Kluyveromyces lactis: one gene and its partner. The protein of the gene in region 1 interacts with the protein of each later gene in a pairwise test. Links are inferred from orthologs where the notes say so. Each region holds a gene or a part of one and is shown on either strand. Other genes may lie near its edges. The genes, in order: PEA2 and BUD6.

The links.
Region 2: the proteins of PEA2 (region 1) and BUD6 interact in a two-hybrid assay, tested with the Saccharomyces cerevisiae proteins (5 studies listed by BioGRID, with this or other methods). The link is inferred for Kluyveromyces lactis from reciprocal best matches to the Saccharomyces cerevisiae genes PEA2 and BUD6.

Annotation. Positions count from the first base shown.
Region 1 is NC_006041.1:890,390-893,401, forward strand, and holds PEA2 (Pea2p), read left to right. Parts: upstream 1-1,495; coding exon 1,496-2,512; downstream 2,513-3,012. Other genes in the region: phosphoprotein phosphatase PP4 catalytic subunit PPH3, read right to left, coding at 1-694; SPT15 (TATA-binding protein), read right to left, coding at 2,882-3,012. UniProt on the Saccharomyces cerevisiae protein: Localized to sites of polarized growth and is required for efficient mating and bipolar budding.
Region 2 is NC_006039.1:1,621,131-1,625,548, reverse strand, and holds BUD6 (formin-mediated actin nucleation enhancer), read right to left. Parts: upstream 2,803-4,418; coding exon 709-2,802; downstream 1-708. Other genes in the region: EST2 (telomerase reverse transcriptase), read left to right, coding at 1-684; MMS22 (Mms22p), read left to right, coding at 3,100-4,418.

The DNA of each region.
Region 1 (3,012 bases):
CGATTAATTCGACACTATTTGTGTGTAAAAATTTATCTACTTCGTTTTGGCCAAATAGGAAACCTGCACCACGCGGGGAAAGAGACCAAGTATCCACATCCTCTGGATCCGACCACAATAAATCACACATAGCACCTTCATGCGGTACCTCCTTTTTCCTATCGATGGTTCGTATTTCGTTGATTGATAAAACGTCCGGCGATAATCCACCATGAACACAGAAAACCTTGTTGTTTACAATGGCACCCAAGGGCAAATAGTCGAATACTTCGCAACAGTATCTCCATACGTTACTGTTACCATATTTCCTTACCACTTCGTCGTAAAACCCATAAACCTTCGTAATCTGTCTTGTTTCATGATTTCCTCGTATCAACACAATTCTATCTGGATACCTTAATTTATAACATACCAAAAGAAGGAAACTCTCTAACGAATAGAACCCTCTATCCACGAAATCTCCCAAAAAGATGTATCTATTCTTTTCAATGCCTCCACTCTTAGCAAAGAGAGTCAACAAATCATGCAATTGGCCATGAATATCTCCACAAATTGTGACTGGCGTATCCACATGTGTCACGTTAGACTCATTCATAAGAAGTTCTTGAGCCATGACACACAGCGAGTATATCGAATCCTCGTCAACATGTTTCCCCTGCCTTAGAGTCTCTATAATCTCATCGAGTTTCATCATTGACAGATGCTCAGACGACGTTAAAGTTAAAACCAACTGGAAGTATAAAAGATAAAAAAAAGTGATTCCCTGTTCAAGAACTGACGATATTATTCTATAGTGATGAGTTTGGATCAAATCCAACAAAAACCTACCTTAAACTAATCTAACAAAGGTAAACTGAATAGTCATCATTAACAATATAGGCTTAAAAGCTTCTTTACTTTCTTATTTTCCAAAATTCGATGAGATAGACAAAATGCAAGTATCAAGAGAAATAAAAGTATCAAGTATCAAAAGAGGTAACAACAATTACATTTTTCGGTTAGCCTGAAAAGTCAACTTGTCGGTCTGCGCTTTCCGGTATGTCTACAGTATATAGCGTAGTGTGGAATGCTTGCCTGTGTTGTATATGGGAATTGTTCAGAATCTTGCTTCTTCTTCTTCTTCTCCTTCCATTGTTTCTTTTTTTTTGCCTGTACTCTTTTTTCACGTTTCTTTTTATCAGTTTGCTTCCTTTTTTGTGTTTCGGCCACAAAAACGATAATTTAACGTGACATGCGGGTAATGAGGTGTGCTTATGTAAGCCTTCGGAAGATGACACCCAGACATCGGAATGGCGGTATTCGTGCGTGGTGATGTCAAATATCACGTGGTTGATAATGTGCTTGTATTACCCGGAAACTGCATGTATGTCCCGTGCGTGGTAATTGAGAAAGGCATTGATCGGAATCAACGCGTCTGGATAGATGAACGGAATGTTAAAATGTAAGTTGCTACCAAACCAAGCTAGATACTGATCGCAGCTAGCCCCTTGATAGAATGCTTCGTAATAACCTGGACCAATGGTACGAGTACAATACCTCTTTTGTAGAGAAATTGCATGGGAAGTACCCCAATGAACAGTTGAATGAATATTTGCAAACTACGAGTACGAATTCCCTGATATCCAATAGACAAAATTCGGAGTGGGATGAGCTTCCAATGGATTTGGATTCCCAATTGAAATTGGAATTTGCATTGTACTTGATTAATGAATCTGCTAACGGTTCTCTAAGTACTAAGGGAACTACTTTCTTACAAAAGCTTGGCTCGGTAGACGTTGACACGTTGAAAGAATTAGTCCAATTGGTACTAGAGAATGATAAATCTTTAGCCAATAAAAGCACTGATGAGGATGAGGGGAAAGTGGAACAGATCACCTCCTACCTGATCTCTAGCTCCATTTCTAAAGGTATCAATTTGGCATCAATAGACAATTCTTCCAACGAGGAGGGTGTACATGATCCAATCTCATTTTGTAAGAAAAACATCGACATCCTGTTGGATGCATACCCACAGAATTCAAGCAGTTCTTTGCAACACGCGCCCCTTTCTACCTCAGAATTGGAACTTAACGATATCTCAAAACAACAGGACCTACAAACGGCTATCACGGATTTACAACTTGCATACAAGTTCTTGAAATCGAAATATGAAAATGATAGAGATGAATACCAGGCGACTATAGAAACTCTGAACAAGACTAACAAAGAGCTTTCTGAAGAGCTCTTACACTATCATAGTAAGTTGAAGGAGCGCGAGGAGAAATCGAAAGTCACTTCACAGATGCAATCAATTCCAATGGATATCGATAGATCCTTCTCACAAGCAATTTCCGAATCCAGTGACATCAAATCCTCAACATCTGCTTCTAACCATCAATCTTTCTCAATGATGAAGCAAGAATTTAAACGAATCTTAGCTGATACTCAGTTAAGATACGAAAAAGAACTAGAACAAGAACGCCTGTTGAGACAACAGTTGGAGAACAAGTTGGAAAATAAAGGATACCGCTAATCGTTTTATGTTGCCCTTAACGATCCAAAAATACTAGCATTAAACTTCAATATATTGTTGAAATGTAATTAACTTTGTAACATTATCTAAGACAGAATTCCTCATCCATTTCAAACTCAAGCTGGAAACCATTTACCGATGGCTATTAGTCGTTAAATTTGTGTATGAACTATATGATACATAGAGTAAGGTGCCAATAATAAAGACTTCTATTATAGCAGAATGGATATGAAAAGACAATAAGGAAGGAAAGATAGAAGGAACAAAGGGTTTTCTTGCAGAAGACGAGACAAAACCTCCGAGAATCGAATTAGTGCATTGTTTAATAAAATAAAAAAATGAATTTTTATAGTACCATCCAATAAAACATCATAGCTTCCTGAATTCACTCAACACAGGGTAGATAGCTTCAAACGCTTGATAGATTTCTTCTCTTTGTTTGGCACCAGTTAAGACAATCTTGCCGGAAACGAAAATTAGTAACACAATCTTAGGTTTCA
Region 2 (4,418 bases), on another chromosome or scaffold:
GACGACCTACTTGAATTCTACACCGAGTTTACTGATGAAAATGATTCAGATCCGATGATAATACGGCTGGTGGATGATTTTCTAATAGTTTCAACTTCCAAGAAATACATCGAGCGGCTTAATAATCTGGCTCAAACAGGATTCAAATCTTTCAATACTTATATAAACCCACAAAAAGTCTTGGTTACTTCATCAGAATCTGAAACATCAACAAATGTACCTTTTTGTGCACTGCAGTTAAATCTAAGAACCCTAGAAGTTTGGAAAGACCGCTCATCGTATAATGTCCTAGGAACAGTTTTGGGATCATCTAAGCAACTGTATAATAAATTACTCTGGATCTTTGAGATGAGACTATCTTATAATATGCTGGACGAGCGCTTAAATTCTTGGGAAACGGCTGCAAGGTTCCTGAGAGAAGTTGCGTTAAATGTAATTCAATCGTTCATTGTCCTTTTTAATAGGAAGAAAAGCAGCAGAAGATCTTTCAAACAATTTGTTTTCAACATTTTTCAGCGAATTGATCTTAACCTCTCTTCAGCTAATATGTTCTCGATGGAAAAGTCCGTCGCGTCAAAAGAACTGGTGTTGTCAGTTTTCCTTGAACAATTAAAATTAAGGAAGAACGCATTTGCAGACATTTTGACAAATGTCAGCGATTTGAAACTATTAATAGAGTTTTAATGCTATTACTTAAAATTATTGTACCTATATCAGACCAAAATTAACACGCAGATTTTCTTCGTCTTTTTGTTTTCTTAGGCGTTCTATCTCCTCAATGCCACCGGCCTTTTTGAAGTTACCTTTCTCAACGAAATTGCCCAACTCATCTTCAAAGGCTTCATTTTCCTTGTACTCTTTCTCTCTGTTTCTTAGTTTTTCTGCCTTTTTAATGGCTTCCACTCTACTGTCATGATCTGGGTTGAGATTCTGAACTTCAGTCAAGACTTGATCGCGGATCATATTATATGTGCCTGGCTTGGCTATCGGAAGAATGGGGTTTCCCTTATTCTTCTTTGGGGCCTTTTCCTGTTGTTCGCAGCACAATTTAACCAAATCAAATGTCTCCATAACCTTATTCAAGTCTTCTTGTAAATCAAATACGAGATCTTCTTGCAATGTCATGAACTGTTGCTCTTCACACACCCTATCTAATTCCGCTTCCCAAATAGTTTTCCAATTTGGCTTTTCGACATCTATATAATTTCTCATTTGATCCAAATCCTTCTTAGCGGAGTCTAATTCAGACGATACATTTTCAATCTTCTTCTTGGGTGTTCTCGCACCTCTAATGGCCACATCTTTACGTAATGCCTCAATGACATCTTGAAGATCGTCAACTTTACTCAAAAGATTATCAGAAACTTCGGATAACTTCGACTGGGACTTTTCCATATAATCGCGATTAGCTGACTTTCCTGTAGTTATTGAAAGGCTCTGGAATTTCTGTAGTTTTTCCACGATAGCGTTTATAGTATTTTGAAGCGATCTCTTTTGGTCGCTATGTATCTGTTTTAAAACGGTAATTTCGTGCCTAATATGAGCAACTTCTTTACGATGATCCTCATGTATAACTGTTGCAGAATCTGAGGATTTTGGACCACTTGAATAATCTGGTGACGATACGTGAGTACTATTTTGGATAATCTCTTTCAAATTTTGAAAAATTGTATCTTGCTTTTCTAATAAACCATCTTGAAGTTGGCGGAACTGTTCATCTAGAGACGATGATTGTACCTGTAATTGGAATACGCTCCCATCTATTATACCATGTAGGTGACTCTCTTCAAGTTCGTAAAATGCCTCGTATTTGGGTTCCTTCACATATATGTCAGGGAATACATCACCTCCTGGGGAATATGCAAATTTCTCAACAAATAAAAGTCTAAGCTTGTTGAAAGAGAGGTGAGAACTAGTTACACATCGTTTCACCTTCTCACCGATCTTCAAAAAGACAACAATTTCATCTATGCTTGAGTTATCACCTTTTGGTTCTGGTGCTCCTGTCATGGGATGATAATCTACGGATGAAGCAGAAGAGATTCGAGAAGGCTGTCTTTCCATTTTAATGCTTTCTGTATCAGAAACATTGGCCGCTGCTGCCGCTGCAGCAGCGGCTGGAACTGCTAAATTTTTAGACGTTGGGGAATTCGATGGATCTGAAGCTGTTTGGTTGGCTAATTTCGCCATATGATACGCTGAAAACCTCTTCGAGGCTCTTCTTTGCAGATTATTTCCCTTTTTCAATTGAGTTAACGCATCGCTTTCAGAACCCTTGGGAACTTCTAACGTAGGTATCTGTTTTGTTTCAATATGAGCTGAAGTAGATGTCGGTCCCGCGCCAGCCAAAGATGTCGTTGCGCTGACTACGGATGAAACGGAAGATCTTTGAGGAGTATGCTGATATTTCAAAGCATCTTCATTCCTGCTCAGTTTTATCATCGCCTGTTTAACCTTAAGTTTCTCCAAGAGTTTAACTATAATATCTCTGATCTGCGGTAGGTATTTATTCAACGTTTCCTCAGATGCAGTCTCTCTCAATGCCACCTCCAATATTCTTCGAAGGTCTTTTGGCACATCGCCAAGATCCGAAATATCAATTCTAGCATGGGTAAAATGTCTACTGACTAACTTGAAATCATTACCCAATTGAACATACACATCGGAAACATTACGCTCGGTAACTTTGCCCTTGGACCATTGCGTCAGAATTTGTAATAGTTGTTTAGTTGAAATCAATAGTTTCGTCACACTAGTTTCCACAGATGATGCTGATTTAGAAATTGGTGGTGGTGTTTCCATCTTTATCAGACACACCTTACGTACCTCACCCTACTGCTTCCACACACCTAACTACTAGCTAGGAAATCCAACGTACACTTTTTAAACGGTATGTTTCTTCAAAGCATTACTAGATCAAAAAGCTTTAGGTTTGATTTGGTTTGCATAAATCTTTTGTTGATAAATATCAAGAAACGTAATTTCCTGAAGTTAGGCCGAGATAATGAAACAGGAAAGTATGGAAACTTACCATTTCAGAAGCTAAGCAACCAACAGAGACGTGTTACCGCGTATGACATATAGCGTGGTTTCTGTGGGATGAATCAGGACTCTGTAGTCCCCAATTCGGAGGCTAGTGATGAAGAGATCGTAATACCTCTGCATTCGGAACCAAATGTATTTCCAATCTTCGATGACGAATACCAGGTACGCGTCATTCCGGGCAGTCTCGATAACGTAGCACAGACACCTCCTGATATTGGAGTTTACTCTAATAGTATAAGACGTGCATTGAGAAAGCGTAAAGCAATCCAGAAGATGCCGTATAGTTTGGATAGAATACGGCATCGGCAGTTATTGCAAGGGTACGATGTATCTAATTTCGAATCTCTAGCAGATCATATCAATCTGCCGAGTGGTTCCCGGCAAGATATTACTGTTAATACGGACAATGGGGGCGTGCTCAATTCGAGTCCTGTGAAGGGCGGCCTTTCACAGCAAGAACACTCGACTATTGCGTCAACAAGGCTTCGAAGGCATCACCATTTCCATATTTCAGATGATGATGATGATGATGAGGTATATGGTAATGCTGAACTAGACAGCGATGAAATTCGTGACGAGTGTCATTCGGAAAGTGACTCGAATCAGTTTGATAGATCCAGTTTATCCTATGATGATAACGTTGTTTTTAGAGGAAGGCAAGTCAATATCAGAACAGGATACAAAGGTGTATTACCCAAAATGGCGTGGAAGAAAGCACTTGATAACAATACAGTTGAAAGTAATAGACAAGGAAGAAATAAAAATAACCACTACGATGAAAATTCACGGAGTAAAGGTTTAGCCAAGAGAAAAATATCTCGTAGAACGTTTAATTCCAGAGACGACAACCTTGTAAACGAATTAATAGAATCGGATGCTGAAATTGAAGTTGGATTCCCGGAAACATATCTACGGCTACAGAATGAGCAAGATTCAATGGAAGACTCAAAACTAGAGGAATATTTTCTACAGAAATATGAGCCAGAACCAGATTCAGATTCAGATTCAAATCCACCATCTTCAGCTGATGATATTACTGAAATTACAAGCCAGGGGATCGAACTACTTACTCTAGATGATGATGAAAAGACTGCGTTGGAAACAATAATCTTTGAACCTTCGAGCATTGAACCTTCATCTGCAATAGCTAAAGATTCTACTAGTGAAATAGATTTCATGCTAACAAAGACTCAGAAGAATCGTAGAAGTCTGGATAGTAAACCCACAATCCTGAAAGATAAATCAAAACGTACAGGTATCCAGCGTCATGGTAAGAAACGAGCTAGAAATATAACAGGATCACGCGGGCGAGAAAGAATATCCATGATGAATAAAGTTAGTCCTTTCAGAAAAGTTAATTCCAATAAAGCTAC